7 linked regions of the Oryctolagus cuniculus genome follow. The protein of the gene in region 1 purifies or fractionates together with the protein of each later gene. This does not show direct contact. Links are inferred from orthologs where the notes say so. Each region holds a gene or a part of one and is shown in the gene's direction. Other genes may lie near its edges. The genes, in order: CNOT1, CNOT10, TNRC6C, CNOT6, OBI1, TOB1 and TNKS1BP1.

What was found.
Region 2: the proteins of CNOT1 (region 1) and CNOT10 purify together in Homo sapiens (affinity purification with mass spectrometry; 4 studies listed by BioGRID and IntAct, with this or other methods). This does not show direct contact. The link is inferred for Oryctolagus cuniculus from reciprocal best matches to the Homo sapiens genes CNOT1 and CNOT10.
Region 3: the proteins of CNOT1 (region 1) and TNRC6C purify together in Homo sapiens (co-immunoprecipitation; 4 studies listed by BioGRID and IntAct, with this or other methods). This does not show direct contact. The link is inferred for Oryctolagus cuniculus from reciprocal best matches to the Homo sapiens genes CNOT1 and TNRC6C.
Region 4: the proteins of CNOT1 (region 1) and CNOT6 purify together in Homo sapiens (affinity purification with mass spectrometry; 5 studies listed by BioGRID and IntAct, with this or other methods). This does not show direct contact. The link is inferred for Oryctolagus cuniculus from reciprocal best matches to the Homo sapiens genes CNOT1 and CNOT6.
Region 5: the proteins of CNOT1 (region 1) and OBI1 purify together in Homo sapiens (affinity purification with mass spectrometry; 3 studies listed by BioGRID and IntAct, with this or other methods). This does not show direct contact. The link is inferred for Oryctolagus cuniculus from reciprocal best matches to the Homo sapiens genes CNOT1 and OBI1.
Region 6: the proteins of CNOT1 (region 1) and TOB1 purify together in Homo sapiens (co-immunoprecipitation; 3 studies listed by BioGRID and IntAct, counting the BioPlex papers as one, with this or other methods). This does not show direct contact. The link is inferred for Oryctolagus cuniculus from reciprocal best matches to the Homo sapiens genes CNOT1 and TOB1.
Region 7: the proteins of CNOT1 (region 1) and TNKS1BP1 purify together in Homo sapiens (affinity purification with mass spectrometry; 5 studies listed by BioGRID and IntAct, with this or other methods). This does not show direct contact. The link is inferred for Oryctolagus cuniculus from reciprocal best matches to the Homo sapiens genes CNOT1 and TNKS1BP1.

The regions. Positions count from the first base shown.
Region 1 is NC_091449.1:41,830,809-41,834,308, reverse strand, and holds part of CNOT1 (CCR4-NOT transcription complex subunit 1), read left to right. Parts: intron 1-811; coding exon 812-928; intron 929-1,257; coding exon 1,258-1,368; intron 1,369-1,650; coding exon 1,651-1,728; intron 1,729-1,913; coding exon 1,914-2,091; intron 2,092-2,767; coding exon 2,768-2,898; intron 2,899-3,500.
Region 2 is NC_091435.1:169,316,735-169,321,020, forward strand, and holds the start of CNOT10 (CCR4-NOT transcription complex subunit 10), read left to right. Parts: upstream 1-1,486; 5' UTR 1,487-1,506; coding exon 1,507-1,777; intron 1,778-4,286. UniProt on the Homo sapiens protein: Component of the CCR4-NOT complex which is one of the major cellular mRNA deadenylases and is linked to various cellular processes including bulk mRNA degradation, miRNA-mediated repression, translational repression during translational initiation and general transcription regulation.
Region 3 is NC_091448.1:3,394,959-3,399,258, reverse strand, and holds the start of TNRC6C (trinucleotide repeat-containing gene 6C protein), read left to right. Parts: upstream 1-1,500; 5' UTR 1,501-1,750; coding exon 1,751-1,818; intron 1,819-4,300. UniProt on the Homo sapiens protein: Plays a role in RNA-mediated gene silencing by micro-RNAs (miRNAs). Required for miRNA-dependent translational repression of complementary mRNAs by argonaute family proteins.
Region 4 is NC_091437.1:66,985,930-66,989,429, reverse strand, and holds part of CNOT6 (CCR4-NOT transcription complex subunit 6), read left to right. Parts: intron 1-1,958; coding exon 1,959-2,161; intron 2,162-3,124; coding exon 3,125-3,337; 3' UTR 3,338-3,500. UniProt on the Homo sapiens protein: Poly(A) nuclease with 3'-5' RNase activity.
Region 5 is NC_091440.1:33,579,099-33,583,319, forward strand, and holds the start of OBI1 (ORC ubiquitin ligase 1), read left to right. Parts: upstream 1-1,421; 5' UTR 1,422-1,510; coding exon 1,511-1,582; intron 1,583-4,221. UniProt on the Homo sapiens protein: E3 ubiquitin ligase essential for DNA replication origin activation during S phase.
Region 6 is NC_091448.1:26,684,815-26,688,892, reverse strand, and holds the start of TOB1 (protein Tob1), read left to right. Parts: upstream 1-1,278; 5' UTR 1,279-1,742; intron 1,743-3,643; 5' UTR 3,644-3,796; coding exon 3,797-4,078. UniProt on the Homo sapiens protein: Anti-proliferative protein; the function is mediated by association with deadenylase subunits of the CCR4-NOT complex. Mediates CPEB3-accelerated mRNA deadenylation by binding to CPEB3 and recruiting CNOT7 which leads to target mRNA deadenylation and decay.
Region 7 is NC_091432.1:14,798,518-14,802,017, forward strand, and holds part of TNKS1BP1 (182 kDa tankyrase-1-binding protein), read left to right. Parts: intron 1-40; exon of another isoform or gene 41-43; 5' UTR 44-58; coding exon 59-152; intron 153-1,193; coding exon 1,194-1,827; intron 1,828-3,500.

The DNA.
Region 1 (3,500 bases):
TTTCATCTGGGTCTCCACGTGGGTGGCAGAGGCCCAAACACTTGGACCACTACTTTTGCTGGTTTTCCCAGGCCATTAGTAGGGAGCCTGATTAGAAGTGTAGCAGCTGGGACACAATTGGTGCCCATATGTAGCTTTACTTGCTGGCCCCACAATTTTTGTTTGATAAGTGCTCTATACTAATGTAGCCTGAAAGTAATCTGTTTAGTATTTTTTGTGTGCTCATATTTAGCTTGTCTGTCATGTCAACTCAGGTGTGGAGGTTTCCTCTTGTGTTATCATGTCAACACTGAAAAAGTTTCCAGTTTTAGAGTATTTCAGATTAGGGTTTTCAATCTGTGCTTATTATTTCTGTAATATAAAAAGCTTCAAAAGATAAAAATGTCACTGTTAATGTTCAGAAGTGGTGGCTTGGCACCGGCACTGTGGGATAGCTAGTAAAGCTGCAGCCTGTGGCTCTTGCATCCTATATGGGCTCAGTTCCAGTCTTGGCTGGTCCACTTCCAGTCCAGCTCCCTGCTAATGCACCTGGGAAAGCAGCGGTTCATGGCCCAAGTACCTGGGTCCCTTTGCCCATGTGGGAGATGTGGAAGAAGCTCCTGGTTCCTGTCTTCAGGTCACCTCAGCTCCAGCTGGTGCAGCCATTTAGGGAGTGAACTAGCAGATGGAAGATCTTTCTGTCTTCCCCTCCCACACCCTCACCCCCAAAATATGGTGGCTTGGGCTTTATTGGATAACAGAGTCTGAAGTGTTTGGTTACGAATTTTCTACCATAAGCTAATTCTCACATCTAAATTCTCTGCCCTTTCAGGTGCTCCTGACTTCAGATAAAGCTGCTGCCAATTTTTCAGATCGTTCTTTGTTGAAGAACTTGGGACATTGGTTAGGAATGATCACATTAGCTAAAAATAAACCCATCTTACACACTGTGAGTTTCAGCTTAAAAGTTTTATGTTAAGTTTGATAATGTGCATGTGTCTAAAAGTCTTGACTTTGGGGCTATTCTAATGATTTTTTTTTTGTAAAATTTTGGCCCATATTTTGATTTCCTAATATTTGCTCATGGTTCTACATCTTTTAGGATAAAGAAAAGCCAGCAACGTGTGATGGTCACCCCTTCCTTTTTCTAAGGCAAGGGTCAGATACTATGTTGATTTTCTATTTTGGGGATGAGCTTAGTGAGATCCCATTGTATGGGTACTTTATGAGAGTTTTGTAGTATATGCCCAGCTTTTGAAAGTACTTCTTTTTTTCTAGGATTTGGATGTTAAATCTTTGCTGCTAGAGGCTTACGTTAAAGGACAACAAGAGTTGCTCTATGTAGTGCCCTTTGTTGCCAAAGTCTTAGAGTCCAGCATTCGTAGTGTGGTGAGTAAATTTTAATATGTCATTTATGGATAATATGAGTTGTATCATTTCAACCCAGGAGTTTATTCCTAGTTTTGTGCATTCTGCATTTGCAGTTAGAGTTGAAATTAGAGGTCTGATGCTGATGGATGACTTTTGAGTTTTTCTGAAGCAGATGGGAAATTTCTGAAGTAGATGGGAAATCTGGGGGATTTGTTATAGCCGTGTGGGTATAAATGTTTTAAAATACCCAAATTAAAGGGTGCTCTCTGGGCCAACTTAACATAATGGTTTTTACTTCAGGTTTTTAGGCCACCAAACCCCTGGACAATGGCAATCATGAATGTATTAGCTGAGCTACATCAGGAACATGACTTAAAGGTAAATTTATTTCTTTATCCTTTAGAACATTGTCTGCCTTCACAGAATTAACATTTAGAATGAAGGCAGAGTGATTGGAGTAGGGGGGATATGCACGGTAACAGTTGTTGAGGGTGGAATATGTTATGAATAAAACTAAATTTTTGTTTTAAATATTCTAATCAAATATTGGAATTATGATGCAGTTAAACTTGAAGTTTGAGATTGAGGTCCTCTGCAAGAACCTTGCATTAGATATCAATGAACTAAAACCTGGAAACCTCCTAAAGGATAAAGATCGCCTAAAGAACTTAGATGAACAACTCTCTGCTCCAAAGAAAGATGTTAAGCAGCCAGAAGAACTCCCTCCCATCACAACTACAAGTAAGTATGATAGTCTAGCCTTTTGGTAACCAGAATATTCTCTTACTAACTTAATCTTACTAGATTCTGTCTTGACAGTTCACACATTCTTCAGTAATTTGTGGTTTAGTCACTCATTGCTCATATATTAGTCACAGCGGTTAGTTATGTGAAGTCTCAGAATTAATTGCCTAGTATGATGGCCTGTGTTATCCTTCAAACCTAGAGTTTGCCAGACTAGATGGCTTTATGAAATGGATATATTTTATATATATGAAAAGGATTGGAGGTGTAGGGGTGAGGTTTTGGGATGCTGAGTGGTTGGGATGTATGTCTAGAATGAACCAGCTTTTGTTTGCTCCTAGCAGCAAAGATATCCTAAGTAAACTAGAGAAGCAGGTGAGGTTGAAAATAGACATCTGTAAAAAATAGACTTGAGCCTATAAGGTTTGGGCCTGCTGTTGTGACAGGATCCCTCAATTAAGTTCTGTGCTTTGGGGCACTATTAGTGATGTAGTTTTGTGTGCTTTGAAAACGTCTGTTATAATAACAAAACTTATCTCTCAGAGTGGGAAAGACTCCTCCCTCAGAGCAATCTGATCTACTTAATTAGATAACAATGGCTTGTTCAGATAATTGTCTAGTAGCTTCAGCAGGTGTTTTTAAATGTTCTGTTTATTTTATTACTTACATTTAGCAACGTCTACTACACCAGCTACCAGCACTACCTGTACAGCCACAGTTCCACCACAGCCACAGTACAGCTACCATGACATCAATGTGTATTCCCTCGCAGGCTTGTCACCACACATTACTCTGAATCCAACGGTAAGTCAGCACTGCTCCTTTCCCCTTGTTTCTAGTTTGTGAGCTGTTTCATCACTTTGCCTTCTCTCTGGACTCTTTGTCAAAGTATAGATCTGGAACTGCTATGTGGTATAGTTGGGATTTTTGATTTCTTTTAAAAATAGTCAGAAATGCCTTGAAATTAGTCACTGGTTCCTCTTACCCAAACCTGGGAAAATAAATTAAACTGGTGATAAAATTTTGATCTCTTGAGATTTCTTGACATAGGTCAAAAGACTTATGGTGTATGTTGGCTCTTATTTATATTTTCATGTCACATTAGCTTTGTATTAAGCTATTTGTCCTGGAAGATGACTGCAACTAAGCAGATTTTTGTGTGTCTGTAAAATTTCCCAACTAGGGTCTTGAATGAGTTAGTACTTTCAGTTAGGTTGTTGAGGTCAGTTACCAGGAGTGAATCTGATCTAAGGTCATGTAAAGTAATCTCTCATAAGTACTTTTCCCTAAACATGAAGCTAATATTTATTCTGTAGATTCAGAATTGCTTGTTATCTTTAGCCTTTCACACCCCTTCAACCAACAGGATTTTCTTGAAAGATTATTTATTTGAAAAGCAGATCAAT
Region 2 (4,286 bases), on another chromosome or scaffold:
CTCATTGTCAGTGGCAGTGTTCTGCTTTGCCTGTCTTCCAAGCGTGCTGACCCTAGTTACTCGAGGTCTGTGACTGGCAGGATGCTACGGTTTGTGGCACTGCTGCTGGTATGACTGGCTTATCCTCTGGGCCAGTTCTCCAGCTCTTCTGTCCAACTTCAAGTAGAGGGGACCTGCTTTAGTGACTGCTTGTACTGTAGAACGTGGCTTCACTGGTCGTGTTTTACTTCTCGGAGCTTTGTAGAAATTAGTCCTTTTTTATAGTTTCTTTATAAAAAATGATTTACTTATTGGAATCAGAGTTAGAGAGAGAGAGGGAGGGAGGGAGAACCCAAAAAAGAGAGAGCGCTTCCATCTCCTGGTTCACTCCTCAAATGGCCATGACAGCCAGTGCTGGGCCAGGCTGAAGCCAGGAGCCAGGAGCCTCATCGGGGTCTCCCATGTGGGTGACAGGCACTGCCACTCTCCCCTGTTTTCTCAGGCACATCAGGAGGGAGCTGAATTGGATGGAGCCAGAGCAGCCAGGTGTGGAACTGGTGCCCGCAGGGGATGCCGGCATCGCAGGCAGGAGCTTAACCTGCTACACCACAAGGCTGGCTTTTTTTTTTTTTAAGGATTTACTCATTTATTTATTTTAAAGTCAGAGTTATACAAAGCAGGAGAGGCCGAGAGAGAGAGAGAGGCCCTCCATCTGCTGGTTCACTTCCCAAATGGCCGCAATGGCCAGAGCTGCACCAATCTGAAGCCAGGAGCCAGGAACTTCCTCCGGGTCTCCCATGCGGGTGCAGGGGCCCAAGGACTTGGGCCATCCTCCACTGCTTTCCCAGGTCACAGCAGAGAGCTGGATCGGAAGTGGAGCAGCTGGGATACAAACCGGTGCCCATATAGGATGCTGGCACTGCAAGTGGCGGCTTTACCCGCTACGCCACAGCACCGGCCCCAATACTGGCTTTGAAATTAGTATATGTGGGGTTTTGTTAAGTCAGAAATACTTGTTTAGATGATAGAAACCACATTTGAAGTGTCTTAACCTTAGCTATATGGTGACTTTAGTGAACCTGAATTGATTTTTTTTATTTTTTATTTTTTGAAGTGGTAACCTTTTTCTTTTTTTCTAGAAAGAGAGCTCCCATGTGCTGGTTCTCTTCCCAGATGTCCACAAGAGCCAGTACTGGGCTGTAGCCAAAACTTGGAGTCAGAAACTCAATCCACATCTCCCATTTGGGTGGCAGTTCCCAGTCACTGAGCTGTGGCTGCGGCCTCCCAGGACAGGAAGCTGGACTCAGGAGCTGGGGATCAAAGCTAGATGCTCCGTGTGAGACATGGGAGTCTCAACCGTGAGGCCAGGCATCCTCCTCAGGCCTTTCAGTTTCCTCATTTCTTTGGAAACGTCTTTCTTTTCTTGAACATCATTGGAGCTATAGCTAGTAGTCATCCTCCAATCAGATTTGAGTGGTTAACATTCTGTGCTGGAATGTGTCTGTTCTTTCCGTTAACTGACTTTTTATGGTTTTGAAAAAGCAGTACATATCTTTTCTACTTAGTTCAAACCAAAAAGCAATTATTTGGTTAGAAATGAAGTCCGTTGGCTTAAAGAATGTCAAGGCTTGTGGGTCAAAGAGCTCTGTTCGCCTAGAAGGTCAGCCGTGCTCCTTAGGCCAGAGCAGAAGGAAGGTCAAGCTTATGGATGAGCGGTCGTATACTCTGTCCATTGGCAATGGAGACTACTTTTGGACAGATAAAGACACGCTGTGGAATTATGTGCAGTCTCTGTCTGGTAAGAAGTGAGCAGTTACAAATAATGGACATTGAAAAAACATTCTAAAACTGACTACAAAAATGAATACTCTTAAAAAAAAAAAAAACTTGAGAAGCATAGATAAGCAAACATAATTTTTATCTTGGGTGGCTGTTTAGCGTGGTGGTTGGGATGCCACCCGGAAGCCCACATCCCTCACTGGAGTGCCTGGGTTCACGTCCCGGCTGCTGCTGACCCAGCTTCCTGCTGAGGCACACTCTGGGAGTAGCAGATGCTGGCTCAAGTGCGTGGATTCCTGCTGCCCAAATGGGAGACCCGGGTTGAGATCCCAGCTCCTGGCTTCAGCCTGGCCCAGCCCTGGGCGTTGTGAACATTTTGGTTGTGAGCCAGTGGATGAGAGCTCTCTCTGCCTCTCAAAGAAATATTTTTTTTTTTTAAGATTTAGTTATTTAGGCCGGCGCCATGGCTCACTAGGCTAATCCTCTGCCTGTGGCGCCAGCACACCAGGTTCTAGTCCCGGTTGGGGCGCCAGATTCTGTCCCGGTTGCCCCTCTTCCAGGCCAGCTCTCTGCTGTGGCCAGGGAGTGCAGTGGAGGATGGCCCAAGTGCTTGGGCCCTGCACCCCACGGGAGACCAGGAGAAGCACCTGGCTCCTGCCTTCGGATCAGCAAAGTGCTGGTGGCCGCAGCGTGCTGGCTGCGGTGGCTGTTGGAGGGTGAACCAACGGCAAAAGGAAGACTCTCTCTCTCTCTCACTGTCCACTCTGCCTGTCAAAAATAAAAAAAAATTATTTATTTACTTGAAAATCAGAATTACACAGAGAGAGAACTAGAGGCAGAGGGAAAGAGAGGTTTTGCATCCGCTGGTTCACTCCCCAGATGGCTGCAACACCTGGAGCTGCGCCAATCCAAAGCCGGGAGCCGGGAGCTTCTTCTGGGTCTCCCAAATGGGTGCAGGGTCCCAAGGACCTGGGCCATCTTCTACTGTTTTCCCAGGCCACAGCAGAGAGCTGGATTCAAATTGGAACAGCTGGGACTCGAACCTGTGCCCATTTGGGATGCCGGCACTGCAGGTGGCAACTTTACCCGCTACGCCACAGCTACGCTGACCCCTAAGAAATATTTTTAAATTCGTTGTTTAAAATTTTATGGTGAGTATTTGTGGAATGGGAGATTTTGCTTCGATCTAAAACTTATACCTTGCCTTTTTTTTTTTTTTTTTTTTTCAGTTAATGTATTTATCTGAAAGAGTTACAGAAAGAGAAAGAGATGTTCCATCTGCTGGTTCACTGCCCAAATGGCCAAGGAGCCTGGAACTCCATCCAGGTCTCCCATGTGGGTTGCAGGATTCCAACTCTCAGGCCGTCACCCGCTGCCTTTCCCAGCACGTTAGCAGTGAATTGGATTGGAAATACAGCAGACAGGTCTTGAAACTGCTGCTCATTTAGGATGCTGGCATCGCTGGCGGAAGCTTAAACCCATTGCTCCGCAGTGCAGGCCCCATGAACACTGATTTATCTGCTAACTTTATCAGAATTAACATTTCTGGGACTGGTGTTGTGCCAGAACTGGTCAAGCAGCCACTTACAGCACTAGTATCCCACATGAGTGTAGGTTTGAGTACTGGCTGCCCCACTTTTGATCCTGCTCCCCCCCACCCCATGCACCTGGAAAAGCTACCCTTTTGTGGCCATTTGGAGAGTGAACCAGCAATGGAAGATCTTGCTCTCTTGCTCTCTCCTCCTCCCCTCCCCCTTCTTCTCTCCCTCCCTAACTCAGCCTTTCAAATAATCTTTTCTAAAAAAGAAAGAAGTAACATTTCACAGAATGCCCTTCTTATAGGGCAGATAAGTTCTTAGATTGATAGGTTCTCAAAAGCAGATTATTGTTAGTATAAATGTGATTTGAGAAGGGTGTAGACATTTCACAGTAATCTAAGGCGGTCTGTAATCAAGTTACACTAAATTAACTTCATTGTCAATTTGTGTGGTTAAAGATTTATTTATTTATTTAAAAGTCAGTTACAAAGAGAAAGATGGAGAGAGAAAGACCTTCCCTCCATTGGTTCACTGCCCAAATGGCCGCACCAGCCAGAGCTGGGCCAGTCCAAAGCCAGGAGCCAGGACCTTCTTCTGGGTCTCCCACATGGGTTCAGGGACCCCAACACTTCAGCCATTCTCCGCTGCTTTTCCCAGGCACGTTAGAAGGAAGCTGGATCGGAAGTAGAACAGCCGGGACCTGAACTAACGCCTTTACGGGTGCTGGTGTTGCAGGCAGCAAAGCACAACGCCGGCCCCCACTTTGTGTGTTTAAAGTACAGACATAAGTGTATTTAAAAAAATAACCATAGGAAGCCTTAGTTGTCCTGGCAGAGGCAGAGGGAAAGGGAGCTGGTGGTTATTTAGCGTTTCCAGCTAAAGACAGGCCAAGAATAGACTGTACCGACTGAGTGACAGGTTCCAAGGCGTGTGCCCGTTTCCTTACACCATACTGGCTCTTGAAAGAGGAAGGCTGGGAACCCCCGCTGG
Region 3 (4,300 bases), on another chromosome or scaffold:
TGACTCATTTCATCCAGAAGGGTGAGGACAATCGGGAGAAAACTTTTGAGGTGATGAAAGGAAACTGGTGGTGGCAGAATTCTGAGACTTCAATGCTTGAAGCTTCTTCCAGGTCTCCCACGTGGGTGCAGGGGCCCAAGGACTTGGGCCATCCTCCACTGCTTTCCCAGGCCATAGCAGAGAGCTGGATTGGAAGAGGAGCAGCCGGACTCCACTGGTGCCCATATAGGATGCCGGTGCTGCAGGGGGAAGATTAGCCCATGACACCATAGCGCCAGCCCTGAATATTAAATTTTATAAAAATAATTATTTCAGGGGCCGGTGCCATGGCTCACTTGGTTAATCCTCCACCTGCGGTGCTGGCATCCCATATGGGTGCCGGATTCTAATCTAGGCTGCTCCTCTTCCAGTCCAGCTCTCTGCTGTGGCCTGAAACACATTTCGCACGTTTTACATCTCCAGAATTGCTGTTTGCCTTACATCCAGTGGGATGCGTATAGCAGGGCGTGATCGGCAGCATTTCTTTCTTAGTGATGCACAGAAGCACTGTGCGTCGTCTGTCTGAGGCGTCTTAGGTTGGGTAGAATGCAGTGCTTTGTAGCAGGTCCACCTGGAAGGGCCGCTGTGTAGCTGTGCCGCGCCGTCGTCCTGCAGGAATGGAGGTCCTTCTGCGGCTGCGTAGGCAGTTGGTGCCGCCTTCTCCTTTGAGAAGCCCTACCCAAGTGCTTCTGGTCATGCTCCGTGGAGTCCAAGCTTATGTATCATTCGGTCACCTAACACACAAGCTCAGATGTGTGTGTATACGCATCGCTTTGTTTCAGAAGAGTCACCCTGTATTGGGGACGTCTGCAGAAGCGGGCCGGTGCCCCGGCCCAGAGTCGCCATTAGCCCCAGAACGCATCCTCATCTTCCTGCGGGAAGAAGCTTCACTGAGTGCATCTGGAGCCCTCTCCCAGCCTCCCTGTGTGGGGCCGTGGGTGAGGGAAGACCCTGCAGACCTCCCAGATCCCTGTGTGGGGCCGTGGGTGTGAGGGAGACCCTGCAGACCTCCCAGCCTCCCTGTGTGGGGCCGTGGGTGTGAGGGAGACCCTGCAGACCTCCCAGCCTCCCTGTGTGGGGCCGTGGGTGTGAGGGAGACCCTGCAGACCTCCCAGCCTCCCTGTGTGGGGCCGTGGGTGTGAGGGAGACCCTGCAGACCTCCCAGCCTCCCTGTGTGGGGCCGTGGGTGTGAGGGAAGACCCTGCAGACCTCCCAGCCTCCCTGTGTGGGGCCGTGGGTGTGAGGGAGACCCTGCAGACCTCCCAGCCTCCCTGTGTGGGGCCGTGGGTGTGAGGGAGACCCTGCAGACCTCCCAGCCTCCCTGTGTGGGGCCGTGGGTGTGAGGGAGACCCTGCAGACCTCCCAGCCTCCCTGTGTGGGGCCGTGGGTGAGGGAAGACCCTGCAGACCTCCCAGCCTCCCTGTGTGGGGCCGTGGGTGAGGGAAGACCTTGCAGACCTCCCAGCCTCCCTGTGTGGGGCCGTGGGCGTGAGGAAGAACCTGCAGACCTTCCAGCCGTGGACTGGAGAGGCGGGAGGGCGGCCGGCGGGAGGGCGCTTAAGCCACCAGCTGAGATGTACTCGTTCCATCCGAGTGTCTGGACTCGAGCCCCAGCTCTGCCCCGCTTCTGTCTTGCTGCTGACGCACACCCTTCGAGGAGCAGATGACGGCTCAGGTCGTTGGGTTCCTGCCACTCATGTGAGAGACCTGGAATGAGTGTTAGATGCCCAGCTCCAGCCCAGCCCTGGCCCTTACAGGCATTCGGGGAGGGAGCCAGCAGGTAGGAGCGCTCTTGTATCTGTCTGTCTCCCCCCATCCTACTCCCTCCCTCCCTCCCTCCCTTTCAAATAAATAAAAGTAAAATGTAAAAGAAATTTAAAGGCTTTTTAAAATATGTATTTGTTTATTTGAGAAGCAGAGTTACAGAGGGAGAGACAGAGAGGTCTTCCATCCGCTGGTTCACTCCCCAAATGGCTGCAACAACTGGAGCTGGGCCAATGCAAAGCCAGGAGCCAGGAGCTCCTTCCCGGTCTCCCACGCAGGTACAGGGTCCAAGCACTTGGGCCATCTTCTGCTCTTCCAAGCCACTAGGGAGCTGGATTGAAGGCGGAGCAGCCATATGGGATGCTGGTGCCACAGCCCCGGCCCCAAGAGCATGCACTCTTTGGGGGTGCTGTGCAGTATGGCGGATGCGGTGAGTGACATTTGACTGACAGTTCAGTCACTGTGTGAGCACATGTGGCCTTGAAGGCTCAGGTGGTGTCCATTCCAACAAGGTTGCTTTGAGGAGTGACTGAGATCATGGATCTCAATGATCTGCACAGCCCAGTGCCTAGTAAGTTACAGTTCTTGCTGCCCTTGGGTTTTCCAGAGACTGCGTAACTCGATGCTGGCTGCTTGCTTGTGTGTGTTTCCACTGGAACTTGGTATTTATGGAGGATTCTTTGATTGTCTAAGTTTTGTCTTTGGATTAAGCAAGACCATCAGAAACCTTCACACTTGGACTGTCTCTGGCTGTCCAGAGAACTGCTGAGTTTTCCCATCGGGCTTTTTGACTCGCAGGAGGCTGCGAGAGCGCGTCTAGTAAAGCCGCCACTGCAGATTTGAGGGCCTCAGCGTCGCTGTCTGGGCAAGAGCGCGTCGCCTGTGCATCCGCCGCTCTGAGGACGGAGGCTGTCGTGAGGGTGATCTGGTAAACTGCTAGTTGCTTCCCCGATAGGGCAGATTGTAAGTCAGTGCCCTACACGTATGAACCCGTTACTAGACCTGATTCTGCTCAAGTCTTGGGAGAGGTAAACTCTAGGTGTAATATTGTAAGAAATCAGGGTAGGCATTGTGGCGTAGTGGCTAAGCTGCTGCTTGGAGAGCCTGGGTCAAGCCCCGGCTCCTCTCGTTCCCACCCGGCTCCCGGCTGATGCGCCCTGGGAGGCAGCAGTGAGGGCGCAAGCACTTGGGCCCCTGCCCCCACGTGGCAGACACAGATGGGGTTCATGGCTGCTGGCTTCAGCCTGGCCCAGCCCTGCTGTTGCCACCATCGGAGGAGTAAGCCAGAGATGGAAAGTCGATCAACTGATCTCTCTCTCTCTCTCTCTCTGCCTTTAAATAAAATGAAAACAAATAAAAATTTAGAAAACAAATCAATCAAAATGATGGCAGTTAGCAGGATGTACTTTATGACAGTCTTAGGAAACATTTGCTTTTTGAAATTGGTGCCTGGACATGGGGCATGCAGTACATACAGCCTACACACTGTGAGTATTACAGTTGTTCAAAGGGGCCGGTGCTGTGGCGTAGCGGGTAAAGCCGCCGCCTGCAGTGCCAGCATCCCATATGGTGCCGGTTCGAGTCCCGGCTGCTCCACTTCCCATCCAGCTCTCTGCTGTGGCCTGGGAAAGCAGTGGAAGATGGTGCAAGTTCTTGGGCCCCTGCACCTGCGTGGGAGACCCGGAAGAAGCTCCTGGCTTTGGATCAGCGCAGCTCCAGCCATTGTGGCCAACTGGGGAGTGAACCAGTGAATTGGAAGACCCCTCTGTCTCTCTCTCTGTCTCTGTCTCTCTCTCTCTGCCTCTTCTCTCTCTGTGTAACTCTGACTTTAAAATAAATAAATAATTTTTTTTTAAAAAACAAGTTGTTAAAAGGCGGGAAGTAGCTTAAAAAGTAGAAAGGGCAGTTTGTGACTCTAAAGGGGCGGGATGGGGGGGGGGGTTCCGCGGCCCAGCGGTTGGTGTGCTGTTCCTGATTGCTGAGGGAGGGGCTAGCTCCTGAGCCTAATTGTGTCATAACAGTGCAGCCCATAACAGCATAACAGGACACTTTTCTCTAATCAAGTAGTTCCTCCAGGATTTCTGTCGGGACTTTTTTTTTCTTTTTTTGCAATCTAAACTTGGTATAGGTTTGAAAATAAAATTTTTCTATAATTTGTATTTTTCAGATAAGTTTTCTTCCTCAATGCTGAAATAAGAGTTTTCATATTTCACATTTTTATGAGACATATCAACAAACCTCTTAGTATCTGTGTGTTTTTCCTGCAACAATATAATTTGTCAAATTTTTTTCTATTTAGGTCAACATTTGAGTGCTTTATCAGCTTATTACTCTAATATGTACATTTTTTTAAAAAGATTGATTTATTTATTTGAAAGGCAAGGTGATAGGCAAAGAGTCAACCATCTGCTGGTTCACTCCCCAAACACCCACAACAGCCAGGGCTGGCAAGCCAGAGCCAGGAGCTCCACCTGGATCTCCCCTGGGTGGCAGGAACC
Region 4 (3,500 bases), on another chromosome or scaffold:
GCGGCTACCGCGCTGCGCCAATCCGAAACCAGGAGCCAGGTGCTTCCTCCTGGTCTCCCATGTGGATGCAGGGCCCAAGCACTTGGGCCATCCTCCACTGCACTCCCGGGCCACAGCAGAGAGCTGGACTGGAAGAGGAACAATGGGGACAGAATCCGGCGCCCCAACTGGGACTAGAACCCGGTGTGCCGGCGCCGCAGGCAGAGGATTAGGCAAATGAGCTGCAGCGCCGGCCAGAAAATACAGTGTTTTGATAGCAACCATGAGAAATATATTTGATTTTTGCTAACTAATTATTAAAATTAAAATATTTTCATATGGGGCAGACATTTGGCCTGGTGGTAAAATGAGGCTTAGAACTCAATAAATAAAGACCCACATCCCATGTTGGAGTGCCTGTTTCATCCATGCACTAGCTTCCTGTTAGTATTTACCCTAGGAGATAGCAGATGATGCTCAGGCTTTTGGGTCCATGCTACCCCATGGGAAGCCTGGATGGCTCCTGGTCCAGCCCCAGCTGTTGGCGGTCTGTGAACATTTGGGAAAGTGAACCAGTAGATAGAAGATACCTCTCTTTCTCACTCTTCCGCTCAAAATACAATGAAAATTTAAACCGGTAAAGCTGCCGCCTGCTGCACCAGCATCCCATATGGGCACTGGTTCAAGTCCCAGCTGTTGCTCTTCTGATCCAACTCCCTGCTAATGAGCCTGGGAAAGCAGTAGAAGATGGTCCAGTGGCTTGGGCCTCTGCACCCATGTATGTGGAAGACCCAGAAGAAGCTCCTGGCTTTGGACTGGCCTTGCTCTGGCTATTGCAGCCATTTGGGGAATGAATCAGTGGATGATGTGTCTCTCCCTCCCTCTCTGTAACTCTGCCTTTCAAGTAAATAAATAAATAAATTTTTAAGCCTATTTTATGCACATAATATCAGGCCCTGTTTTTTATTTTTTAAACCTTTTATTTGAAAGGCAAAGAAATGGAGACACACAGAGGTATTTCATTGGCTGGTTTACCCTTAAATGTCAGTAACAGCTAGGGCTGGGCCAGGCTGAAGCCAAGAACCTGGAACTCATTCTATGATTCCCATGTGGGTTTAAGAGACACAAGTACTTCAGCCATTCCTGCTGCCTTCCAGAGTGCAGATTAGCAGGAAGCTGGAATTGGAAGTGGAACCAGAACTCAAACCCAGGCACTCTTAAATGGGTGCAGGCATCTCAAGTGGTGGCTGAATTGCTGAGCCAAATGCCCATCCCTAACTGCATTCTCTTCCAGAGTTCTAGTGTTGAGCCATATACCAAGTAAATAATTTAGTATAAATAGACACCTGTGTACTAAGACGACAATTGTGGTGATAACTTTTAATTCGTTTAAAGTGAAAACAACCTGAATTTTCAAAAATAAGGAACTAGTTTAGCAGGCACTGTACCTTATTATGTAGCCATTAAAGAAAAATAATAGGAAAGTGTACCTGCTCATGTGATACAGTTTTAAATGAAAAAAAAAAAAATATATATATAAAATATTCAGTGTACTAAAACAAGTTTAGACAGAGTCTGGCAAAGTTTTTAAAAGAAAACTTGTAGGGGCCAGCCCTGTGGTATGGTAGGTTAAGGGCACCGCTGTCCCACATGGGCGCTGGTTCGTGTCCAGCTGCTCCTCTTCTGATATAGAGATGGCCCAAGTGCTTGTGCCCCTGCACCCACATGGGAGACCCAGAAGAAGCTCCTGGCTCCTGGCTTCGGCCTGGCCTAGCTCCAGCCATTGTGGCCGTATGGATATAAGACCTCTTTCTCTGTCTTTCCCTCTGTCTGTAACACTGCCTCTCAATAAATCTAAAGAAAAAGAGAAACATTATAGAAAGTGGGAATATTTATACTATTGCATGATCTTTTAAATTGCATCTTGTGCCCTGTATATTGTACTTGATAATGAAAAAGTATATTTCTTTTTATTTTAGGTGTTGTAGAATATTTGAGCACTGGTGGAGTAGAAACAAATCATAAAGACTTTAAGGAACTGAGATACAATGAAAGTCTTACAAACTTCAGCTGTAATGGGAAGAATGGAACAACCAACGGAAGGATCACTCACGGTTTCAAGTTAAAGAGTGCCTATGAGAGTGGCCTGATGCCTTACACGAATTACACATTTGATTTCAAGGTGTGTCCTGAGATTGGCAAGCTTATAAAACCTCAGCTAACCAGCAAGCCCTCTAACTTCTGGATGTCTTTAAAATGGGGGTATGGGAGTGGGCATTTAGCTTAGCAGTTACGATGATGTGTCGCACATAAGAGCAACTGGGTTCTAGTCCAAGCTCCTAACTTTGATCCTGCTAATGCAAACCCTTGAAAGCAGTGGTGATGGCGCAGGTAGTTGATTTCTTGCTACTCATGTGGGATACCTGGATTGAATTCCTTGCTTTGGCACTGGCTAGTATAAGCATTTGGGAAGTGAACCAATAAAATAGGAGTAAACAGGGGGCTCTGTCTCTGCTTCTCAAAAAATAAAACAGTGGATATATGTTCAGACTGGAATTAAACAATCTTAAATTTGTCGACAGCAATATTCTTCTGTTAGTCTTCTGTAGAATACCTTACTAGCAGTTGGATATGCTGTACAGTGTTATCTAATTTAGTATCATTTGGGGTGAGGTGTTGCTTCTATTATATTTTAATTTAACCAAAACTGTACTCCTTTGAAAGATAGCATATGGTTTCTTTAGCTATTCAGAGATTTTTATTGTTTTAATATTTAATTTACTTCAAAAGGAGAGGGAAAGAGACATACAAGAGAGAGAAGACCCTTGGTTTACTTTCCAAATGCCTGTAACAGTGGGGCTGGGCTCTCCTCTCCCTCTCTGTCCCCCTTTCCCTCTCTCTCTTTTAGCTCTGTCTTTCAAATATATAAATCTTAAAAAAAATTCAGATGGGAAGAAGAATGCTTTGTTTTGTTGCATTTGACCTTTGAAGGGATCATTCCATTTGTATAGTACTAGTAAGTTTCTTTTTACTTTTCTTTTTATTAACCCAACCTAACATAATGGTAAGGCTGTGTCTTTGAAAACATTAAGTATTTTGGTATTAATCCTATGTGGGGCTTTGTCTTTTTCTTGTTGTTTTTCAGGGTATAATTGACTACATCTTCTATTCTAAACCTCAGCTGAACACGTTAGGCATCCTGGGACCTTTGGACCACCATTGGTTAGCTGAGAATAATATCAGCGGCTGCCCACACCCTCTCATCCCCTCTGACCACTTCTCACTTTTTGCACAACTGGAGCTCTTACTGCCTTTCCTGCCCCAAGTTAATGGCATTCACCTTCCTGGCAGGAGGTAGTCAAGTACCTTCAGAGGACAACCTCAGTTTTACTTGTAAACTCGTGAAAATCTGATGATGGGAGTGAGGTATGGCCACTAGGGATTGTTTTGGTTTTTTTCTTAATGATGATTTGAAATTTCAATCTGATTACTTTGTAAGGATTTAGTATGAAAGCCAGGTG
Region 5 (4,221 bases), on another chromosome or scaffold:
ACACTGGTCCCTACCTACTCCTTCAGACTTGACAGTAAGCATATGTTGACCTCATGTGATACAAACACAAACACACGCACACATACACACACACAATGAAGAAACTAATACTGAGAAACGTTAGATAAGTTGCTTGAGGCCATAGATCTAGGAAGTTGTTGAGGCTTTGCTTTCCACAGCAGCAGTCCTGTTCCACTCTTGGCTTCTTGAGATCACACTGCTTCTTTGTCAGAAAGATTGTAATAGTTGTTACATTGGTCTTGCTTCTACATCTCCCAACTCACAGATTATATTTGTTTGCATAAGTTATCACATCAGTTCTTCCTCACTTAAAGTGAGATACAGCTAAATCTCAAATCTCTTGCATGAGATTCATTTAGATTTTTGCTTTTTCGTGGTTTAGGAAATGCTAATTTATAACTTCACGAATTCTCCTTTTGGAGTTCACCAACACAGCGGTACATTTCCTATCCAATCATGCACTTGAAACGAAGGCATTAAAAAGCATTGTGCAGACTGCCACACTTGGCCTAGTGGTGAAGACACTCAGGATCTTACCGCAGGGCCTGGGTTCAAGGGCTCCACCTCATGATTCCCGCTTCCTGCTAACACAGACCAGTGGAGGCAGCAGGTGATGATTCAAGTGGACTTGTCCCTGGCACCCACGTGGGAGGACTGGTTTGCCTTCCCTGCCCCTTTGCAGGCACTTGGGTAATAAACCAGTGAATAGCAGCTCACTTTGTCTTAAATAAATAAGTAGGTAAATAAATAAATAATAATCGCATTTGTGATTGTGCAAGCTGCTAGCCAGCACTATTGGCAGAATTCTGAGCTGGAACACTATAATCCTTAAATTTTCTTGAAGTGGATTCCACAGAAAGGCCAAAAGTGAGAGTCCTCAAGGAAAGCTGCGATTAAACACAACTAGATTGCTCCCGCAATACCCTAAGATAAGGAGACAATCACCGTTTTTCCAGTGAATTATCGCGTCCTCTGAAGCACACCCTGTGGTTTGAGGGAAAGCCAGCTGAGAAAGGTGGAAAGTTGTTTTGAGAAATCAAAATGTAAAGTTAAGTGTCTTCGCGTCTTCACTGTATTGTGTGGTTGTTGTGTGGAATTTTATCTTGAGGGAGAAAACTACCTCACATCCAACCTTCCGGGGTAAAACATCTTAGCGCTTAAAGTCGTCTTCCCGCGTCGTTCTCCCCTCACGACACTATTACGCTTTTCCTTAAATTTTCAGGATCGTCGATGCCTGGAGCAAACCATCTTCCTGTCCATTTTCAGGAACCCTACAGCTTCCTAGTGAGAGAAAGCAGTTTAGTTTAGTTTTAGCTTAACTAAAACGAAAAGCCCGAGCGACGGCGCATTTCCAAAGCGCGTTTTAGTTTCCTCTCCCTGGCGGACTGTGGCCCTGCCCGGCCGCCGTAGCCGGCCTCTCGCGTCCCCAGTCGTGGCGAGGAGCCGCTGTCGGCGGGACTTCCGTGTTGGCGGGATTCTGAACGCTGCCATGGCTCAGACCGTGCAGAACGTTACATTGTCGCTCACTCTGCCCATCACATGCCACATATGCTTGGGGAAGGTAATGGGTGTTTCCAGGCACAGCTACGAAACGGGGTTGGGGATGAAGCTGCTCGCTAGAGCCGAGGGCGGACTCCATGCGGGGCTGGGAAGGAAGGGGCGTGAGGCGCCGAGACCAGAGAGGACGCTAGCCCGCGTTCTCCTAGGCGAGGGGGTCCGCAACCTGGGCGACGGAGGGGGCGCGCCGTGACGAAGGGGTTCATCTGGGCGCCTTTGGGAGGAGGATGACAGCGGCCCGGGTTCTACGGGGAGGCCGGCGAGGCGGCCCTCACGGGCCGACGCCTGCCGCGGAGGAGGCCCGGTCAGAAACGCATCGCAGTCACATTTTAGCCCTGTGCAACCTCGTGCGGTGCGTGGCCCTGAAGCACATTTTCTAGGTACCCCGCCTAAGATTCCTTAGCGCTCTGTGCAACCAAAGTACCTGTTCTCCGGCCTGCTGTGCTAATTGGGGAACCTTTTCTTATCCCGGCCTTGAGTTTGGCCTCTGCTCTGGGTTCAGAATTTTGGAAGCAAATAGTACGTGTCCCTGGAAGGTATTTAGAAACGAGGGATCAATCACGAGATAGAAACCCTCTCTTTGTGATGCGAAGGTGCCTAATGTGTGGAACAAGGTGGAGAAAGTAGTTCCGAATTAGAAACGGAGTTGTGAGTGTTCTGATGCGTCCCTTAGGTTTCCTCTCTTTCGTTTAAATTTGTGCCTCCCGTTCAGTTTTTTTAAAGAGCGTTTCTTGACCGTATAGATCAAGAAGGGAGCAGATACTGTGCACAATCAGGTTTTTGCCAGACAGAATTGTTTTTAAGTTTTTGGTGTATGTTCACCCCCAGGTGCAGACTGAGACTGCTGCTTCAGGCTTAGAATTGAGAAATGCATACTTAATATAGCAAGCTTTTTGAGTCAGCCAGAATCATCATCTATCTGCCTTAGGTGGCTGAGGGTCTGTGGGAACTGGGAGGAAGTCAAGATGGGAAGCAACCGTTAACTCTTGATACCAGTCAGAAAGAAATGCTAACGAAATAGCCAATGTCTGCGAGAGCGGCTAGGCGTCAGCTTGATCCTTCGGACTGGAGAGATCAAGGATGGCCTCCTCAGGAGTGGTATTTGAGCTGGCATTTGCTACCATGCCTGCATGCATGGGTGGGAGCAGGAGAAGTGATGTTTCTATTTGCTACAATCCTGCACAATTGGCTCCTGACGTAAGGACCCCAAAAGTATATGATAAATTCTGAATTTCCACAAACCCTGGCATTAAATTAAGCTGATAAAAATATTCTTCTGAGATATCTTAGTTGTATATAGTATATATACTTTCCATTAGTTTATAGTCTGTCTTTTGCAATTATGTTGGAAATGTGTTCTGCCTGTTTTACTTATCAAGCCTGTGTTTTTTGTAGTTAACAAAAGTGCTGCCTAATAAAATACAGGTAGAGCATCAAAATCTGAAATCCAAGATGTCCCAAAGCCCAAAACTCTGAGTCCTGACACAAGCCACAAGTAGAAGGTTCCACATCTGACCTCATCTGATGGGTCATAGTCAAAATATAGTTGCACTAAAAATATTGTATAAAATTACTTCAAGTTATGTGGATAAGGTATATAAGAAACATAAACGAATTTTGTGCTTAGGCTTGTATCCCATCCCTATGGTATATGCAGATACTCCAAAGTCTGGGGGAAAAAAATCCAGAATTTGAAGTATCTGCTCCCAGCATTTCAGATAAGATATAAATCTTTTCTAGTGCTTTGCATATTACAAAATGCTTTTGTGTGTAGTTATGTTGTTTATTTCTCACACCAATACTATGAGACAGTACCAGTTTTCTCATTCATGCAATAGAGCAACTAAAGCTTAGAGATACTGGTGATCAAACTTCTGTTATTATCATTAATGTCTTCAGTAGAATACTTTCTGAAACACTCACCTGGGTTCATCCATGACAGTAGTCATGTTTAGTATCTTTTCCCTCCATGCTTAGTTTTGTTTAGGTAGCTTTATTCTAAAATCAAATCAGATAAAATTGAAAAGATTGACAGTTTGTAAACAGACTTTTTCTGCCTGCTGTGGAAGTAGAATGGTGTGTTGGCCGAATTGTACATTCAGACTACTTTGGGTTCCACTCTAGTTTCTACCACATACTAGTTATATGACCTTATACAAGTTACTTAACCTCTCTGAACCTCAGTTTCCTTATCTGTAAAGTGGCAATGACAGTAGTATCAATTCCCGTGGCTGAATTTGGGGCAGGATTAAATGAAGCATATACAATGCTTAGCAATAAAGTCTGGCACGTAATAGTATCCAATAACTGTTAGTTCTTACTGTGAGCACCGAAGCAGGCCCTTCGACTGGATTAAAAAAAAAAAAATCCTTTTCTAGTAACTGTTCTTGTACCCAGTTGCTTTGTGAGTCTAGTGCACTTATAAATGAAAGTTCACATTCTCAACTAAGGATCTATTGGTTTTGGAAATTGTCATAGTATATCCATGGTTTTTAGCTAGTTCCATATTTCTTTTGCCTTTTGTATGGTTAAAGCAAATCCAATCTGCTGTGCTACTTGGTTTTCCACACATATCATATTTGTCATGTACTAGAAATGGCCTATCCCTGATATGAATTCCATCTATATGATATAAAGCATCTG
Region 6 (4,078 bases), on another chromosome or scaffold:
GGACACAGAAAGCGGGTTCGTGCCCGCGCAGCGCAGCGGGTCTACGCCGCGCACCGCCTTCCGCGAGCCCCGCTCTTCCGCGGGCGAAGGCCGGCGGCAGCGGCGGTGTTCCGGGAAGCGCGCCCGGGCGCAGGGCGCAGGGCGCAGGGCGCTCCATTCACGGCCCCGAGGCCCGCTCCCGCCCTCGCTCCCCCTGGACCTTCTCTCCGCTCCAGCGGGTCCGACTCTGACGTCCGTCTCCTGGATACCAGGCGGCCAATCGCCTGCTCCTCAGGGGCCGCGCGTGGCCAATCAGGCGTCGTTGCTACCTGTGAGTAATATTTTTAGCTGCGAGGGACGCCCCACGGCTCCCAGTGTAGCTCGGTGTGTTTCTCCGCGGCCGGTTCTGACAAGCCGCTTGCCCGTCCCCCGTGGGTCCCTCTCTCGCCCCGCTCCCTAGGTTTCCGCACCTACGTCCACCGAAAACCCTCCGGAACGCGCCGTGTTTATTCCGTGCACCTGTGTTAACGCCCTTGCCATGCACAAACGCACACGCACACAGATACATACGCAGCTTGGCACGGCGGCGCCACCCCCCAGCCACCGAGGGGCCCTGGGAGTGACATGTGCTCCTTCTTACGGCCTCGGGCCACCCCCAGCTCCGAGCCGCTGCGGGTCGCCCGGGGAGGCCTGACGCGGGACGGCGGAGGCGGTTAAACTGTCACCTGGGCGGAAGGTGCGGCGAGCTGGCCTCCCGTCCCCACCCCCAGCCCGGCGGCTTTGGGTTCTGCAGTTGCCACTCTGCCGGTGGCAGTTGGCCTAGGCCCTGAGGTGATTAATATTCAATTAACCGAGCGCACGAGCCCCAGTCCCAGTCTAGACTCCCTCGGCGTGGGCCAGAGGTCGACTTGGTAGCTCATCCACCAGAGGGATTTTCCTCGGTCACAGTCCCGCTCGGGCCTGTGCGCATTTTCTGCACCCGACCCCTCGCTCTCGAGGTCCCGGGCCGTCCGCCCCGTTCCCCCTGCCGCTTTGCCACCTGCTTCGCTCCCCTCCCCCTGCCTCCTGGCGCTCTCGGCTGCGTCCGAGCGTCAGCAGCCCTGCCCCACCCCTTTCTACCCTCTCTGACACGTCTCTCCTCCAATCCCCGTCTAAGTTTCCTCTTGGTCCCGCCCACAGCCCCTCCAGACTGTCGGCTCATTGGCCATTCTGGTGCCCGAGGAGGTGTGGCCTTCCCCCACCCGGGCCGTTCGCCGCCCGACGGGACATGGGCAGGCGGGACTTGGCCAATGGCGTCGAGGGGTAGGGCCGGGGTGGAGCGAGCCGGCGAGAGTCCGGGGTGCTGGACGGGGAGGGCGGGGAATGGTTACGCCGCCCCGAAGCTGTGTGACGCGGGCGGGCGCGCGCACCCCCACGGAGGGGATTGGGGGCAGGGAGAAGAATATAAAACGAGAGGCGGGGCGCGCGCCGCGGCAGAAGGAGCGAAGCTCTGGCCCGGCGTGGAGTGGGCGCTCTACGGGGACGCTGGGCCGGGGCACCGGGCTGTGTGGAGAAGTGAGCGCGCTCGCCTGACCCCCGTCCCCGCCACCCCGAGCCAGAAGCCGCGAGCTCCTGAGGCCCGCCCGAGGCCTGCGTCCTCCGTCCGGCGGCGGCGGCGACGACGTCTTGCATTCGGTCGACTCGCCGCTCCCGCGCCCCCGCCCTGCCGCCCCTTCTGCCCTCCCGGCCGCCAGCCTGTGGTGGACGCAACCCCGCAGCAGCCCGTAAGTATCGGCGAGGCGGCGGGCGGCAGGGAGACGGGAGCCCAGACCGGGGCGCCGAAGGAGGGGCTGCAGCGTCGTCGAGCCCCGGGCCCTCGGGGTGGGGTGGGGGTGGGGGGCTCGGGGACGGCGGCTTCGCGGCCGTGGGCGCGGACGGACAGCTCCCGGGACCCGACGGGAGCGGCTCCGGACGCCCGGCCCCGAGGCGTCGGGCTCGGCGGGGGCCCGGCGGGTGACCGGGAAGGGAGGCCCGGGGCGAGCCGCCGGAATCGGGGGTTGGGGCTCCCGGGAGGGGCGGCGAGCTCGCGGGCAACGCTGGGGTGCGAGGGGCCGGTGGCCGCTGAGGCCGAAAATGGTGCCGGGGAGCCGGTGCTCCCCGGGCCCTGGCCGGGTCCCAGGAGCCTCGGGCGGGGGGCGGGGGCGGGGAGAGGCGGGTCAGGTTACGGCGGGGGGAGGGGAGCGGCTGACCGGCGGCGCCGGACCTGCCCGGTGCCCGGTGCCCGGCCGCGGGAGCTGGCCTTTCCCCTTCCCGTGGCCTTCGTCGTCGTTGTCCCCTTCCTCCTCCTCCTCCTCCTCCCCGGGAGCTCGTACTCTTCCTCCTCCTCCACCTCCTCCTGCTGTAGCTGCCGCCGTAGCGCTTGGGCTCCGGGCGCTGTGAGCAGAAATCTAATGAGAACTGGCTGTTTATGTAATTCTCCACACTCCCGTGTTCAGGCGCCGCCTGAAAACTACCTTCCGCCCAGCCCGAATGCGCTCGGCGGCACCTTCCAGCCATCGAGCCTCATCGGCCGCCTCTGCCCGCACTCGGGCGTGGGGCTCGGAAAGTGTGGGTCGTTCGGGCGCAGCCGGGGGCTCCCTTCCCTTTGTCGCCGCGAGCAGGGGAAAAACGGAAGCGGGGCTGCCAGGTCGGTCTTTGCACGACCTTTCCCATCCATCTCCCTGTACACACAGGTCTCCTTTGCAAATATCTTGTGTTTGCCCTTGATCTTTCCTTATCCCCACCCAGTGCTGACCCAGCAAGCGTGTAAAGGTCGACCTTATCATACGTGCCTCATGGCTGTTCTCTTATCCTGAGAGGCTGGGAGGTGCTTTTCAAAATCAGAATAAAACTCCAGCCCTGCCCTTTAAGCAGAATCATCGGTGTTCGGAAATTCATTTGTCGCTCCCGTGCGGTGCCAGAGAAGCACTTGCTTTGCTCTCGCTGTCCAGGAGGTGTTTCCAGAGGTAGAGAGGGACGCACCGCCAGGCCCGGGGTCGTGTGCCTGCCTTAGTATAGTTAGTCCCCGCGTCCACGCAGGTGATTTAGTGCGTGCTTATCGTTGACTAGGATGACAGATTCATTCGGCCTATAGTCCCTTTAATTTTAGCATCATGTACTTTGAAATGAGTTTTCCTGGCTTCTCAAATTTCCACATGTTTACCGATGGTGCAGATTAAACAGTCTATAACCAGATAGAACTGAGATAGGATTCACTTCCAAGTCGGTGGATAGCGCTAACAATTAACGATCAACTTCTACCAGTGGCATATGTGTGGGGGCTGGGGGTGAGTGAGTGGGAATGCGGAATTGAATTTCCAGTAAATATTTTTGTGAGAATTTGGAGGAAGGGGAAGGAAAAAAAAAGGTATTCTGTAGATACTTTTCTTAGAACTCTACTCAGTAAATGATTCTTTTGAAGACTGTTTATTTCAACTATAAATTTACATCTCCCCGAGATTTTGAGCCTTAAGAAACAATTTTCTATTGCATGTTGATTTCGTGTGGGTTGTGTTTTTCAGGCTGTCTAGCCTATGAGGCATTTTTAAAAAGTGAAATTGCGGGGGGAATAGAGTGAAGGTCATGGGATTTGACGCTGCACGTCTCTTACTTGGACATATCTGCTTTTGTTTTGTTTTCTGTAAAGGACGAGAGCGCCGAAGGTGAAGGATAATCTTCTAAAACCAGCACTTTGAATGAAAATTTGTTTCTCTGCCACACACTGAACGCCTTTTTTTTTTTTTTTTTTTTTTTTTTTGTGGGAGAGTTGAAACAAACCTAATTTTGTGGCATAGCAGCTATGCAGCTTGAAATCCAAGTAGCACTCAATTTTATTATTTCATATTTGTACAATAAGCTTCCCAGGAGACGTGTCAACATTTTTGGTGAAGAGCTTGAAAGACTTCTTAAGAAGAAATATGAAGGGCACTGGTATCCTGAAAAGCCATACAGAGGATCAGGGTTTAGATGTATACACATAGGGGAGAAAGTGGACCCAGTGATTGAACAAGCGTCCAAAGAGAGTGGTCTGGACATCGATGATGTGCGTGGCAATCTGCCACAGGACCTTAGTGTTTGGATC
Region 7 (3,500 bases), on another chromosome or scaffold:
AGCCAGCGCCGCTCACGCGCTCTGCTTCCTATTTCTCAAGCAGGATCTGCCGCATGTGATGAAAGTGTCTACTCTCAGGGAAAGCACAGCCATGGCTTCCCCACCGCCCCGGGAGCCGGAGGAGGAGCTGCTGCCCGCTGGCTCCGAGCCAGGTACCCATGGGTGCAGGGTGGAGCCGGTGGCTGAGAGCAGGGTGGGAAGGGCGCAGGCTGCACCCCCATTCCATCCTGGGGGGTAGCTGAGTTGAAGTGTGTTGAGGTAGCTGCGAGGCAGGGCCGCAGTACTAGGAAGTGCGGGATAGGGTGGGAAGGCCCTCGGCCCGGCTCTAGCACCTCTAAGGGCAGACAGGACCCATGGGGGTGATGTGGGTCCAGCTGTGTGTTTTGCAGGTGGGGGCAGGGGCTGCGGCCGGGAGAGGGGACCCCTGAGACCCAGAGGGAGGCCTGGAGTGCACCCACCCAGGCTCCTGCCTCCATGTCTCTAGACTCTTAGCCAGCTGAGCGGGTGATCGAGGGTTCCACTAGAAGGGCTGTGACCCGGAGTGATTGCGATGCTGTTTATCTGGCATTGGAATGCCTTATATAGAAGGAAGATTTCTGGTCTTGGTTTTGAGTTTTTTTCCCCCGCTGTAGCAGATTTACTTTTGTTTGGCTTAGGTCAATAGTAAGTTTGCATTCCTTGGTCACACACCGGATGACAGTGGGGAGGTGGCCTGGGTGTGTGCTGGAGGCGGGGGTAGCTGGAAGGCAGGATGAAGAAACAGAGTTGGGGTGAGTTTACTGTGGGGGATGCAGCGGGGAGAGGGCTCCATGGGAAGACAGTGGGCGACTGGTGTGGCGGGAGATATTTGTTTATTGGCTCATTCATTCATGTGTTTGATTAGAGCATGTGCTGGGTACAAAGTAGGGTGCAAGGGGAAGTGAGGTGCCAGCAGGGCCCTTACATAGCTTTAGTTTAAAAGGGGAACTGGTGAAATAACTTTGGGAGTTTGGAGAAGGGAGAAGATGTTTCTGGAATGTGTGTGGAAAATCAAGGAAGCCTTCATGGAAGAGGTGGCATTTGACTTGTGCCTACACAGGCGTGAGCATTCTGAAATTGGAGGGTGGGAGATGAGGTGGAACAAGAAACACAAGAAGTTCTGCTTCTTGGTTCTTCTGACAGCCCCCCACACCCACTCCTCTTTCCTTTTGTAGGTGACCCTCGGGCCAAACCCCCTGTGAAGCCTAAACCCCGGGCTCTGCCTGCCAAGCCAGCCCTGCCTGCTAAGCCCAGCCTCCTGGTGCCTGTAGGGCCTCGTCCCCCCCGGGGTCCCCTGGCTGAGCTACCTTCTGCCCGGAAGATGAACATGTTGGCGGGACCCCAGCCCTATGGGGGCAGCAAGCGTCCCCTTCCCTTTGCACCGAGGCCTACGACCGAGACCTCTGTTGGAGGAGAAGCCACCCCAGAGCCTGGGAAAGAAGAGGCTGGGAAAGAGGAGCTGCCTCCTCTGACGCCCCCAGCTCGCTGTGCCGCCCCAGGGGGCGTGCGCAAGGCCCCTGCCCCCTTCCGTCCAGCCTCAGAGCGCTTTGCGGCCACCACGGTGGAAGAGATCCTGGCCAAGATGGAGCAGCCCCGGAAGGAGGTGCCTGCCAGCCCCGACCGCCTCTGGGGCTCCCGCCTCACCTTTAACCACGATGGTAGCTCACGGTATGGCCTCAGGACCTACGGTGTGGCTGCTGGTCCCAAGGAGGAAGACAGCAGGAGCCTGGCCAGAGATTGTCCCCAGGAGGGGTTGGCAAAGACTCCTGTAGAGTGCCAGGAAGAACACAGCAAGACCCCCGAGGAGAGGTGAGGCACGGGGTGGGGCGTCCTGCTATATATTTTGTTGTAGCTTGGAGGGCTCTGAGGGCCAAGGGCCAAGTGGGTGGCCCTGTTTGGGGCCATGACTTTCATCTTGAGGCTGGTTGTGTGCTGTGAATATGGACAGACCTGGTCTAAGTCACAAAGCCCTGCCTTGGTAGATGGCGTTGTCATTGCTGTGTGCTTTTGAAACAAACATTGTCATTCTCTTTACAGAACGGATGCATGTGTATCGCAGAGTGTTCGATCACACAGGATAGAAGTGTACTTTCTTTTTTGCTTGCTATTTTTTAAAATATTTATTTATTTTATTCGAAAGGTAGAGTTACAGAGATACAGAGAAGGAGAGAGATCTTCCATCTGCTAGTTCACTGCCCAAATGGCCGCAGTGGCTGGAGCGAGGCCAGACCGAAACCAGGAGCCAGGAGCTTCTTCTGGGTCTCCCACCTGGGTGCAGGGGCCCAAACTTTTGGGCCATTCTCTACTGCTTTCCCAGGCTCACTCATCAACAGGGAGCTGGATAGGAAGTGGAGCAGCCAGAACGTGAACCGTGGCTCATATGGGATGCTGGCACTGCAGGCGGCGGCTTCACCCACTATGCCGCAGTGCCGGCCCAGTTTACTTTCTATATACTGAGAACTGGGCAGCAAACCTTGCCTCCTTGAATCCTGTTTGGTGAAGGGAATGTTAGATCCATTTTAGAGATGGGGAGACAAAGGCTCAGTCCCTCAGCAAGTAAGAAGCAGAAAGGGGGTTTGCATTCAGGTCTGATTGCCAGGCCCCTCCTGTGTGCAGAGTGTCAGGTTTGGGGTGCAGGTGTGTGTGTGTGTGTGTGTGTGTGTATGTGTGTGTGTGGACCAGTGGGGCAGAGCCCCCTGAGGAGGGCTCTATGGAAGACAGAAGACAGGAGCACATGGTGATGCTGGCCCAGCTCTTTCCTGCACAGAGATGACACCTGGTTGGATACATTTGCATATTGCATATGATCCATTTCCCCTTTGCACTGGAGCAGAGGAAGACTGGCTAGGAGGTACCCCTGCGGGTGGGGGTGGGGGCACAGGTCGCTGGAGGAGGCTCAGGAATCTCAGGAGCGATCAGCTGCACAAGGCCCTCTGGGCAGGCAGAGTCAGCTGCAGGCTGGGCTGGGCCCAGGGACTCTTTTCTGCTTTGCATTGCTGTGAAGGCCAGGGCTACTGTGGTCTGGCTGTGTGGAAGCCGAAGGCCCCTGCCCTGCCCTGCCCTGCTGTCCAGCCCTGCCCATCTTTCACCTGGAGACGTAGACCAGGGCGCTGTGAGGTTGTCAGGCTGGGTTCTGCTCTCCCTTCTCTGCCCCTTCCTCTCTCCACGTGGAGCTTAAGAGGAACAACTTCAGCCTTGGAAAGCCTCTCCCCTACTTCCCCCCCAGCCTCCCTCCCACCCCCAATCTCCCAAGGAATATTGGCAGGACAGTTGGGACCAGCTGCAGTCTCCTGGGCTAGAGGAGAACTTTAACCCTTCCGGGGTAAAGGAAGGAGGCTTTATCTTCTGGGTATATGGGACGCTTTTCCTGCAGGAGCTGGGCGGTTTAACCTGTTAGGTGCAGGTTGGGGATTAGCGCTGTCCCCTGGGATGCTTGCTGAGTGGAAGCTGGACAGTCTTCCCGCCCCTCGCCCCTTGCCCGC